3 linked regions of the Rattus norvegicus genome follow. The protein of the gene in region 1 interacts with the protein of each later gene in a biochemical or structural test. Links are inferred from orthologs where the notes say so. Each region holds a gene or a part of one and is shown on either strand. Other genes may lie near its edges.

Evidence for each region.
Region 2: the proteins of Erbb2 (region 1) and Crk form a complex in vitro, tested with the Homo sapiens proteins (2 studies listed by BioGRID and IntAct, with this or other methods). The link is inferred for Rattus norvegicus from reciprocal best matches to the Homo sapiens genes ERBB2 and CRK.
Region 3: the proteins of Erbb2 (region 1) and Txk form a complex in vitro, tested with the Homo sapiens proteins (2 studies listed by BioGRID and IntAct, with this or other methods). The link is inferred for Rattus norvegicus from reciprocal best matches to the Homo sapiens genes ERBB2 and TXK.

Annotation. Positions count from the first base shown.
Region 1 is NC_086028.1:83,924,596-83,928,243, reverse strand, and holds part of Erbb2 (receptor tyrosine-protein kinase erbB-2 precursor), read right to left. Parts: intron 2,599-3,648; coding exon 2,551-2,598; intron 1,488-2,550; coding exon 1,349-1,487; intron 1,261-1,348; coding exon 1,138-1,260; intron 1,002-1,137; coding exon 903-1,001; intron 464-902; coding exon 278-463; intron 142-277; coding exon 1-141. UniProt on the Homo sapiens protein: Protein tyrosine kinase that is part of several cell surface receptor complexes, but that apparently needs a coreceptor for ligand binding. Essential component of a neuregulin-receptor complex, although neuregulins do not interact with it alone.
Region 2 is NC_086028.1:61,028,101-61,031,826, reverse strand, and holds the start of Crk (adapter molecule crk), read right to left. Parts: upstream 2,911-3,726; 5' UTR 2,872-2,910; coding exon 2,631-2,871; intron 1-2,630. UniProt on the Homo sapiens protein: Involved in cell branching and adhesion mediated by BCAR1-CRK-RAPGEF1 signaling and activation of RAP1.
Region 3 is NC_086032.1:35,869,832-35,873,579, reverse strand, and holds the end of Txk (tyrosine-protein kinase TXK), read right to left. Parts: intron 3,356-3,748; coding exon 3,198-3,355; intron 731-3,197; coding exon 662-730; 3' UTR 128-661; downstream 1-127. UniProt on the Homo sapiens protein: Non-receptor tyrosine kinase that plays a redundant role with ITK in regulation of the adaptive immune response. Regulates the development, function and differentiation of conventional T-cells and nonconventional NKT-cells.

The sequences.
Region 1 (3,648 bases):
ATGGTACTCTGTCTCATCAATGTCCAGCAGCCGAGCCAGCCCGAAATCTGTAATCTTGACGTGGTTGGGACTCTTGACTAGCACATTCCGGGCAGCCAGGTCCCTGTGTACAAGCCGCACGTCCTCCAGGTAGCTCATCCCCTGGACAGAGGGCACCAGTGTGGATCGTGAGTCTAAATCTCACCTTAGGGACACTCCCACCTCATCCTGGCCCCAAATGAAGGCAGGGACTTGCACCCAAAGGATCTCCAGAGCCAGCAACCCCTAAAGCACATACCTTGGCAATCTGAACACACCAGTTGAGCAGGTCCTGGGAGCCTAGGCGACCTCGGTGTTCTCGGACATGGTCCAGAAGGCAGCCGTAGGGCATAAGCTGTGTCACCAGCTGTACTGTGGATGTCAGGCAGATGCCCAGGAGGCGGGACACATACGGAGAACCCACACCAGCCATCACATACGCTTCCTGCAGACGAGGGTACAAAGGGATACAGGAAGCCACCTACTTCCATCCACTCTCCTCTCCCAGAGACCCTCACCCATCCCTCACTGGCTACAACCAGAGCCTCCAGACTAGGAAGGTTAAGAGTCAAGGTTTAGGGGCTTCTATCTCAAACCCTGATGAGGAGAAAGCAGCCCAGATCTGCACCTGGGAGCTCCTCACATTCCCAAGGGGGAGCATGAAGGGGAGGGGCTTCTCACATTCCCAAAGGAGACAGTGAAGGAGGGGAAGGTCCTCACATTCCCAAGGGGGAGTGTGAAGGGGGATCACATTTCCAAGGGGGAGCCTGAAGGGGGTCTTCTCACATTCCCAAGGGAGGCCGGTGAAGGGCTGGGGTCCTCACAATCCCAAGGGAGAGGGTGAAAGGGAGGCTCCTCACATTCCCTAGAGAGGAGGGGCTTACATCTAGAATTTCTTTGTTGGCTTTAGGAGATGTGTTTTCTCTCAACACCTTGATAGCCACGGGGATTTTCACATTCTCCCCATCTGGGATCCAGATGCCCTGAGCAAAAAGAAAAGGACTTGAATCAGGCTCCCCAACAAGCCATTGAAGAGTAGCCTCCAGCTTGGCTCACTCCTGTCTCTTGACCCTGCCCCTCCCTTAGATCCACCCATGCCAGAACCTGGTCCCTCCTGACCTTGTAGACAGTGCCAAAAGCTCCTGATCCAAGCACCTTCACCTTCCTTAGCTCCGTCTCTTTTAGGATCCGCATCTGAGCCTGGTTGGGCATTGCTCCGCTGGGCGTCAGCGGCTCCACTAACTGAACAGAGAGGGTAGTAGGTAGGGTGAGTGCTGAGTATAAGCTGTAAGTCCGAGGGGGGCACTAGGAGGCCCTCACCATGCCTCACCTCAGTTTCCTGCAGCAGCCTACGCATCGTATACTTCCGGATCTTCTGTCTCCTTCGTTTGATTAGGATTCCAACGACCACCACTAAGATCAGGAACAGCAGGACGCCCACTACAGTTGCAATGATGAATGTCACCGGGCTGGAAACAGAGCCAGAGTCAGAGATTAGGGGCTAGTCTGAGGAGGAAGCTTGGAGAGACCCCCATGAAGGGACAGGAGTGTTCCTGGGCTCCAAAACTTCATGGGAGAAAAATGCATCAAAGGCCTTGTTAGTCTGCACTGTGCAGCCCACCCCCAGGGGCTTCTGCCACACAGGAAATAGGGTCTAGTAATATGTACCCCAAGACTCTCAGGTACTAGTCAAAGCATTCTTCAAGGAGCCTTGCAGTCGCAGGTTCCCATTACCAGGACCTTTATTTCTCCATGATATAATTGTCTATGATTCAGCTCATCTTGGGGCACACAGGGTCCCTGGATTCTCATGAGACCATTATTGGTTGGTATACTTAGTTTTGAGGCTACCTCACGAATAGCCCAGGCTGGCTTTGTATTCACAATCCATGTGCCTCAGTCTCCCAAGTGCTGGGGTTACAGGTGTCTGCCACATGTCCGGGCAGAACTCATTCTTGTCATCCTTGCTCCCTGAAACCCCATCTTGCTCTGCATGAGGCCTGTCGTTAGAGCCAGCATCTAATGTTTGCCTCACAGGCGAACAGCATACCCTAGACTGCTTTTCTCCCTTCTACCACTCTCCTCTGACAAACCAGAGTCCCATGGCCCAGGGGTCAAGAACTCTACCCTACCCTCCAGATCTGTGTATCTCACAACTTCAGTTTACACCCCTCTGCACTGGTGTGGCTCATAGCACACACCAGAGAGTTCTTAGCCACCCTCGATTTACATGACTCTCCACCTGAGGGCACAAAAAGCACAATACTCCATCCTGGAAGCTTCTAGCTGCCCAGCTAGAATACTCTCAGGCTCTGCACGCTGTCACTGCATCCCTAGGGAACTACATTTCCCAGCATCCCTTACCCCACAGCATCCTGAGCAGGACTATCCACTTGTTGAAACAAAAGTTAATAGAGAAAGAACGGGACTAAGGAGAGAGGCACATGCAGCATGCTGGTTAATCTCTCTTCATTACTGACCACCGAGGCCAATGAAGGAGTCGGGGGTGCGGGGGTACCTCTGGGGGCCCACCTGGCTCTCTGCTCTGCTGGGCAGCCTCGTTCATCCAGATCCACACAGCTGCAGAAGAGAGAGAGAGTGCCATCATCAAACCTGGGGACAGGCTCCGGGGGTGGGCGTGGCAGGATTACTCCATGTGACAAACAGAAACAGGGCTCCAGGTCACCAATTTGTTCTGTACCAGCCCACAAGAAGATTCCCTCTCCAGTCTGGGAGCCCACCTCCCCTGCATTGCTATAACTTCCTGTGCTGAGAGCAGGAAGCACTATTAGGGCGGGAAGGTCAGCTAGCCCCTCCACAAAAGAGGCCTAGGGTATATGGTACATGGAAGGAGAGTTTGAGGAGATCTATTAAACACACCGGGGCAGGGCTACAAGGAAAGGGTCTACAAGGTCCTGGCATCCATCTCCACCCACCAAGCAGTAAAATATCAACAGTTCTGCCTCAACAGTCGGTACTACCATGCCAACACCAGGTCACAAGAAGGCATGCACACAGACGCCCCTTTGTGTGTAGAGCTGAACAGCAATGGGCTGGTTTAAAAAAAAAAAAAATCAGGCCTTACTAGAAGAGGAGGAGCCTAGTCTTACTGCAACTTGATATGCCATCTGAGAGGAAATGGAGGAGGAATGGATTGGGGGTTGGAGGGGCTGAGGGGAGGGGAGGAGGGAAAGCGGTGGTCAGGATGAAATAAATAGGCAAGTGAGAGTGACATCCCTCAAACAGGGCCCGTCCTGAGCGACATGCTCTGAACTGAGACGTTTGTAGAGGGGTAGATGGAGATGCCCTTGTAGGAGAGGATGCGGAGCCAAGTTTCACCCCCCTGAAAGAGCAGCGAGTGATCTTAACCACCTCTCCAGACCCAAATGTGTTATTTTTGTAATTAGAAAAGAGATATAAGGGCTGGAGAGATGGCTCAGTGGTTAAGAGCACTGACTGCTCTTCCAGAGGTCCTGAGTTCAATTCCCAGCAACCACATGGTGGCTCACAACCATCTGTAAAGAGATCCGATGCCCTCTTCTGGTATGTCTAAAGAGAGGTGTAGTGTACTTATATATAATAAATGAATAAAAAAAAGAGAGAGAGATAAAAATTACACCTCAGTATAAG
Region 2 (3,726 bases), about 23 Mb from region 1:
GCCTGTCTTACCCACATGCCTCTACAGTGTGTGCACACAAGTGTAATCAGTTCTAGGCCAGCCAGAACTACAGTATGTGCATGACTGATGTGAGTCTGTGGAAGTCAGGACAACTCTGAGGTGTTCCTTCTCTTATCCAACCCCGGGATTGAGGATCAAACAAGACCCTCAAGCTGGCAAAGCTGTGCTTTTGCCTACTGAGCCACTCTGCGGGATCTCAGAGCACTCAGATGGCAGAAGCAAGAATTCTCCTGAGTTCAAAGCCAGCCTAGTTTATATGGTTGCAGACCAGCTAGGGCTGCAGAGTGAAACCCTGTTTCAAAACAAAAGAATGGAGTTCCCTATGTGCACCCCAGGGATTCCAAAGCAAATAAACAAAGAATACCAAAATTATACAATAGTCAGTTCTCAGGTCACACTGTCTAGTTCAAATTCTGGTTTATATGCTAAATGTTACAGGTTACTGGATTTCTAGTTCTTCTCCCCACCTCCAAATGAAAATGTTTTAATAAATGGAGATTGCAGAATTTCACTCATTGGATTGTTTTACTGATGGTGAATTATATAAGGCACATTTAGCAAAGCATGTAGCATACAATAGTCAGTCAATAAGTGTAAACTATTAAAATTATATATGTCTCTCTAAAACTCAAGTAATTCCTGTGTGGCTTCAAAAGAAAAACAGTTTAATGGATGGCAGAACAGCGATTAAGTGACCATCATAAAGACAGCAAGTGAATTGAGTGTCCTACAGAGAAAATGGGGAACACGACAGAACAAATTGCCACAAAGCCAATGAACTTTCCACACCTAACCCACAAACTGGCAATCTTCTCCTCTCCTAGGCCAAACACCTATTTTGAAAAGGTGGAGCTACCGAGATATAAAACCACAAGCCTGCCTGATGCTAGTCCCACATTTTCAAACAAGGAGAAAACTGAGGACCGAGTCCCTCACCCCCAGCTATTGGGAATAAAACCTAGCCTCCCCAAATGTCAGGCAAATAAACTACCACTCAACTATATCCCTAGTCACACCCCCTAACATAACTTTTTATTTTGAGGCAGAATCTTGCTAAGTTTCCCAGATGACCTGGAACTTGTAAAATCTTGCCTCAGCCTCCTAGGTGCTGGGATTAAAAGCATGAATTATGAAACTTGGCTGAGAATTGAATTTCAACAATAACATTTCATCTTACTACTGCCCTTAACACAAAACAACAGATTATTTTACAGATAGCACAAAAATAGAATTTACTATGTTTAGGGCAATTGTGTTGTATCTGATTTTATATTATTAAACCAACAGACACAAAAAGACTAAGAAGACTTCAGTACTCAAATTTTCCCCTTACTTGTGTGCCAACACCAAGAACTGTTTATCCCACCTCTACCTCCTCATTTGTGGCCAAAGGGAGTAAGTCTAAATTAGGATGATCCTAAAAGGAGGTCTACTAAACGGCTAACCAGGGAGTCTCCATTCATGAGATTAGCTCAGCTCTAGGAGGAACAAGCTTGCACTTCAAACATCCAGAAAGCAAGAAGCTTGGTGCCAACACACAGAGACAACAGTAATCTCAGAATCACTGTGCATCTCACAAACTTCAAGGACGAAGTGCATGAATTTCCTTAACATTGCCAAGACAACTGCAATAATACAGCTGAGACAATTACAACTCAATGGTCCTCGATGAGGAAAACACAGCGGGATAATTATTCTTGGTGTATCTGCCAGCTAGGTCTGCTCTCATATCCTGGAAGATTTTGACCACAGCACCAACTTAGCAAGAAAAGACCCAGAAGTACGTTGACTGACACTGTTTAAGCCCAGGAAGAATGAAATTCCATTCACTTCCAAGGTTGTTCTCCCTGGCCTATGCTTGGTTTATTTCCTAAAGGAAAAAAAAAACCTTCCTCCACTAATCACTTTGAAACTAGAAACTCTACGTGCAGCGGGCAGTCTTTTGGACACTTAAAACCTCTTGGACACAATTTGCCAGCTAGGCTTCAATTACGCTGGGCTGGTCACAGAAAGCTTTTTTTCTATTACCAAGTCACTTAGTTCACCACCTTCCACAAGGGAAGAGCACGGTAAAAAGATTTTGGAAAAATGCCCAAGAAAGGAAAAAGCTGACCGGCTTCCTGAGGGTGTCTCCATCCCTCCCAGCCAGCCAAGTACGTGGTGACTTCCTACCGAAGGCCACCAGGGGAGTATGGCCAAACCCAGCTCTAACACTGCAGGAAACGTTTCAAGCCTAAAAGCCACTTGTAGGATTAGCAGATCCATTCTGGGCATCTCTGCCAAATGATGTCCCCGCAACATCCCCATTAACTCTTTGTCCCCAAGTTGCCTGGCCCTGCCCTGCCCTGCCCTTGGGCCTGACCCTGGCGCCCAGCCCCACCCCGGGGCCGCAGCAGTTCCCCTTCCCCGGCTCCCAAGGCACACCCAGAGGCCTCGGTGAGCAGCTCCTCCTCCCCCACAATCCCGCTCATCGGTGGGAACCAGCTTGGTCAGAAGGCAGCTCCCCCGCCAGGTTCACTCCAGCCCTCTCTGCCCACGTCCCTCCTGCAGCCGACCAGGGTTCTAGGGCCTTCACCCCCGCCCGGGCCTCCCGCCCGTCTGTCCCTCACCCGGCGGAGGCTGAGCGGGCGACGGAGGCACTGGAGGGCGCGGGCCGCTGCTGTTGATGATGTAGTGGGAGACGCGCGAGTTTTCGGAGACGCTGAGCACATAGTCCCCGGGGCTGGTGCTCGAGTCCCGCACCAGGAAAACCCCGTGCCGCTGGCCCTGCAATAGCGCCACCGCCTCCTGCCGGCTCAAGCGGCCCCAGTACCAGCTACTCCGCTCCTCCGAGTCGAAGTTGCCTGCCATGGCCGCCTCCGCGCCTTCACGCTGGGCCGCCGCCGGCACGCGCGCCCCTCCAGCCCTGGCGCCCGCCGCCCAGCGGACCGGCTCCGGTGTAAGCCTCCCAGCAGCGCCCGAAATGGCGGCGGCAGCCGCGGGCCTTCCCCACCGGAAATGACGCGCTCTCTACCCGAGGGAGGCTGCCGGGAAGGGGACCGCCGCCCGCCATTGGGAGAAGGGAAACGGAGTCCTTGGGGCCCGCAGTGCGCATGCGTCCTCATGGGCGTCGCCGCCCGGTCCAGAACCCCAACGGCGGAGGATGGGGAGGCGGAGTCTAGGTTTAAGGGGCGGAGCCTCAATCTTCAGACTGACTGGTGTTTGACTAACTGGTGTTTGACAGATTGGTAGAGGCGGTCTTTCTCCCAGGACCTACAGGTAGCAGCTCCAGTAAAAGGACTGGAGTAAAAAAGATGATGTGGTCCCAGGATGCCCTCAAAGCTCCCTAACAAGCTGGTCTTTCCCGGTGTTTCCTTCGGTTTCCCCGGAGGTCAGTCGAAGTTCTTGCTATCTAGGAGTAGCCATAGATAACACATTTGCCTTGCAGGTGCAGTACTGACCTAGACTGAGCCTTAAGTCACCGAATTCACAGACCAGTGGGAGGGATCAGGAAACCATTAATGTCTGCTGTGATGGGAAACAGAGACACAAGGAAATCAACTAAGTAATCCTAGAGGAATCCAAGGGCCGGGTAAAGTGACTATGACAGTAATCCCAACCCTTAGGAAACTGAGACAGGAGGATCACTGTGTTTCAGGCCCTATATTATAAAACGAAAGCAAATAAGAACAAGGAGTCCACAGATGAGATGGTGTAGGTTGAATG
Region 3 (3,748 bases), on another chromosome or scaffold:
GGGCTCTGGATTTCCCTGATACCAGATAGCATTAGAAATAGAAATTTCGCCAAGATATGTTCAAAGGGTGCGTTGGTTCAGATTTTCAACAGTCTTTAAAACTAGAATGCAAAAACTTAGACCTCACAATAATCAAAAGAGTTTATTAAATAACATACGGCAAGATTATAAAAGACATTTCCAGAATGTTCACATAGGTTTCCAAAGCTATGTTTTCTATAAACATTTATACAGGCCCAAACATGAAACTGTTGGGAAGGTTTCTTTACTCCATGAGTTGGCAGAACCTATTTTTCCCCCTCTCTGCATGGACCACTCCAAACAGAAATGTCAGTGCCCAAGAAAGAAGTCGCCTTAGCCTTATGAAGAATCAGGGGTCTGTGTCACTCTAAGGGTCGTGAGGGTACCTATCATGAGCAAGCCATCTGGAAGGCTGAAGTGGAGTGTGTGAGAGGAGTGCAGTTCAGAAGTCTCTCTCACGGCAGTACAAAGACTACCATCAGAGCATTTTGCATTGAAATCAGTGTGACAAGCCAGTGACCCTTGCTCCTTTACCAAGAGTCAACAACCCTCGTGGAGATACTCCCCAGCAGTGATGCCCATGATTCCACCTTGTGACAGTTTTACAAGATGACCCTGTGGGCTGGTGTTCCGTTTTAGATCACCAGGTTTCCGCGATCTCTGCGAGAACCTGAAGCAACTCAGCAAATGTCGGACGGCCTTTAGGGCTCTGGAGAACAGAGAGAGAGAGAAAGAGAGAGAGAGACGATCAGCTCGGCCTGCTTCTCACTCAGACACCAGCTGTGGAACTTGCAGAGATCCTCAACCCATCCCGGTTCTGCACAAACTGAAGAGCACCAGGCTCTGGCTGACACACAGTGGCACGGTGTCCATGTGAGGAAGCATGGTTGAGCATGGACGAGTATAGCGCAACGGCACGGATAAAACAGCCAGAGTTGTAAACGTAACTTACCAGTGGCTATGTAAATAAATGTAAAAGGAATACATATTTCAACTTGGCTCTCCAATTACACTAGCCACTCCTCAAATCCTCTGTAGCCAGAGGTGCCTAGTGCATGGACAGAGAACGTGTAGAATCTGTGTAGAATGTATGCAGACTACAGAAATTTCTTCTGGAAAATGACAGGGATTTGAAGTGTGAGGTCCCCAATTCCATATCAGTACTGGTTTACCATACTGGTCCCCTCTAGCAGGAAGGGCTTCACATAAAAAGCAAAAGGCACATCTCCATGTCTCCTCCAGGGATCCTGTAGATCCTGGAGCACAGTCAACCGTACCTTTGACCTCGGAAGCAGAGATCAGAGCACTTTCCCCTGTTTTACTTTGCAATGTGCTTTGGCTCTGTCTGCCTGGGGAAGACATGACCCTGTTGTCATCTCTGGAACCTGCAGGAGTTAGAGCTACCCACTGCGATGGGATGAAAGGGGTGGGGGTGGGGGGAAGCAGGTGGCAGACACTGTGAGAGGATCCTGATCCTTGATGAGGATCCAGGAATAAATCATGGACCTTTCTGGAAGGGTCCAGCTCAACAGGCAGAATCTGCCATGTTTATCAACAATCTTTTTTAAAAATAGTAAATTCACATTATTCCAATTATCTCACAATCAAAAACAGGCAGTCTAAGGAAGCCATTCAAACAAATATTTACCTAGCCCCAAATTATACCCATCAGCGAACTTCTATACAGTTAGATTGGCCATCCTTGGGCCTCAGGACTTCACTTAGGCTATTAGACTTCCACGATTAATTACATTTTATTCACTTACCCTCTGCAATGAAATCGAGATCGCTATGGGCAGAGTTGAAACTAGTAGCTTGTATCTCAATGTGCATGCGTGCTCTGTTTGCCTGCAGTTTGAGACGGTTCCTTCTGTGATCTTCCTGTTTACCCTTCTTCCTCTCAGCTCACAAATAATACACAAGATGGCCATGTTCTGTGCACACGTGCACGCTTACTAATGATCCTTGACTTAGGACACAGTCATCTCCCAATAAACCCATTCTAAGCTTAAAACATCATAAGCTAAAGGTGCATTTGTGCAAGTACTCTACCAGAAAGCACAGCTTAGTGACATCCACAGCAATCATTTATCCAATCTTGTGAGCTGTGGCTGCCTGAAAGATGGGCTCCTTCCCAGCATCTCAGTAGAGGCTCCTACTTCATATCAACATTAGATGCTTGAAACATGGCATTGTAAAGTTGGAAAAATTCTAAGTCAAAACCATGGAAGCCACCATCTGCGTGGCCTAAGCCATTTACATTGTGATGGGAACTAATATAGTGTGTGGCTACTAGCGACTTACTGGACAATTCTTTGGACTTTCAAGATTCCTTGTAGAACAGCTAACCATGACTATTTCCCTATTGATCTATTCCCATTGATCTTCCCAGATGCAATGCCTCTCTGAAATATGAACAGTCCCACCACTCTTGAAATACTGGTTTTCCCAGTGTTTGTGGATTGGGAATCAAATGATGCATGTGAGTTTGTTTGTGTTTCAGGCCATAGGAGACCCCACCACTACCACCACCAAGCTGTGATTTTTCTGGGGTAAGCCTGCTAACTACAGAGCAGAGGTCTCAAAAACCACAGACTGATAAGAGCGGAATGGCTGTTGAATGGATGCCCAGAAAAGAAGGGGTGGGAGGTGGGGTGGGGAAGAGACAGAAACCTACCCCTCTGGCTTCATTTTTCATCTTGGCATTTCAACAAAAAGAGCAACTCCTAAGTGATGGTTTCCCAAGTGCTAGCTCCCAGCACAGCCTGCCTTCAGTTTCTATTCTGGTTTAATCTCTCTATCAGGAGTCTTAACCGGGGTGAGAGGAAACCCTTGAGTGTGGAGGTGAACAGAAGTAAAGTGCAATGAATAAAATGGCATCCTCCTTATTCTGTGGGGAAGGTCAACAAACCAGATTCTGTTCCCAGTTCCACCACCCAGTTCTTCAAGACAATAGATCATCTAATCAAGAGTCTTTAGAAACATCCAGTTTCTCTAAGAACCAATCCCAGACAGACAAGGCTTGGGAACGAGCTCCCAGATGAAAGTCCTTTGTGAGAAACAAAACAGACTTGAGACTGGGGTGGGGGTGCCATAAGAGAAGTGGTGGGCTGACTCTCAGGGTCATGATCAGAAAGCAGGCAGCAGGTACAGAGTCGGTAATAAGGGACACCTACCTCATGCCAGCAACTGTACATAACTCCGTATATGGACATGGGGGCCAGGTGAGGACGATAGAGCCGGAAACCTTTAGAAATGGCTTCCACCACTTGCAAATTGGACTTATTCTCAAAGGGCATTTTTCCTTCTGTAAAAACTTCCCACATTAAAACTCCTGCAAATAAAACATGTTAAAACAAGAGTCACTTGGAACCAAAACAACGGTTTCATTCAAGCTGCAAGATGTTAATCTCTTCCAGCCCCGGAAGCCAAGGGGCAAGGATCTCAAGAAGGCAAGGTGCAAATCCCAAAGGCCTTGAAAGTATAAAGTGAAAGGTGTGCGCTATTTTTTCTAATCCAGATGTTAAGCTCAAATTGTCAAGTTGGAAAGCAGATGAGCTTCTGCATAGCTAAACAAGGGAGTTTATTAAAAACACTGGAAACTCAGTGGTAACCCAGACCCTTTCCTCCAAGACTCTGTGATATGGGAGTTTTGGCTGAATTTGCCTTCTATGTCACCAGACTTCTTGTTATATGGCAGACGCTTGCTGGGGAAGGAAAGAACCAG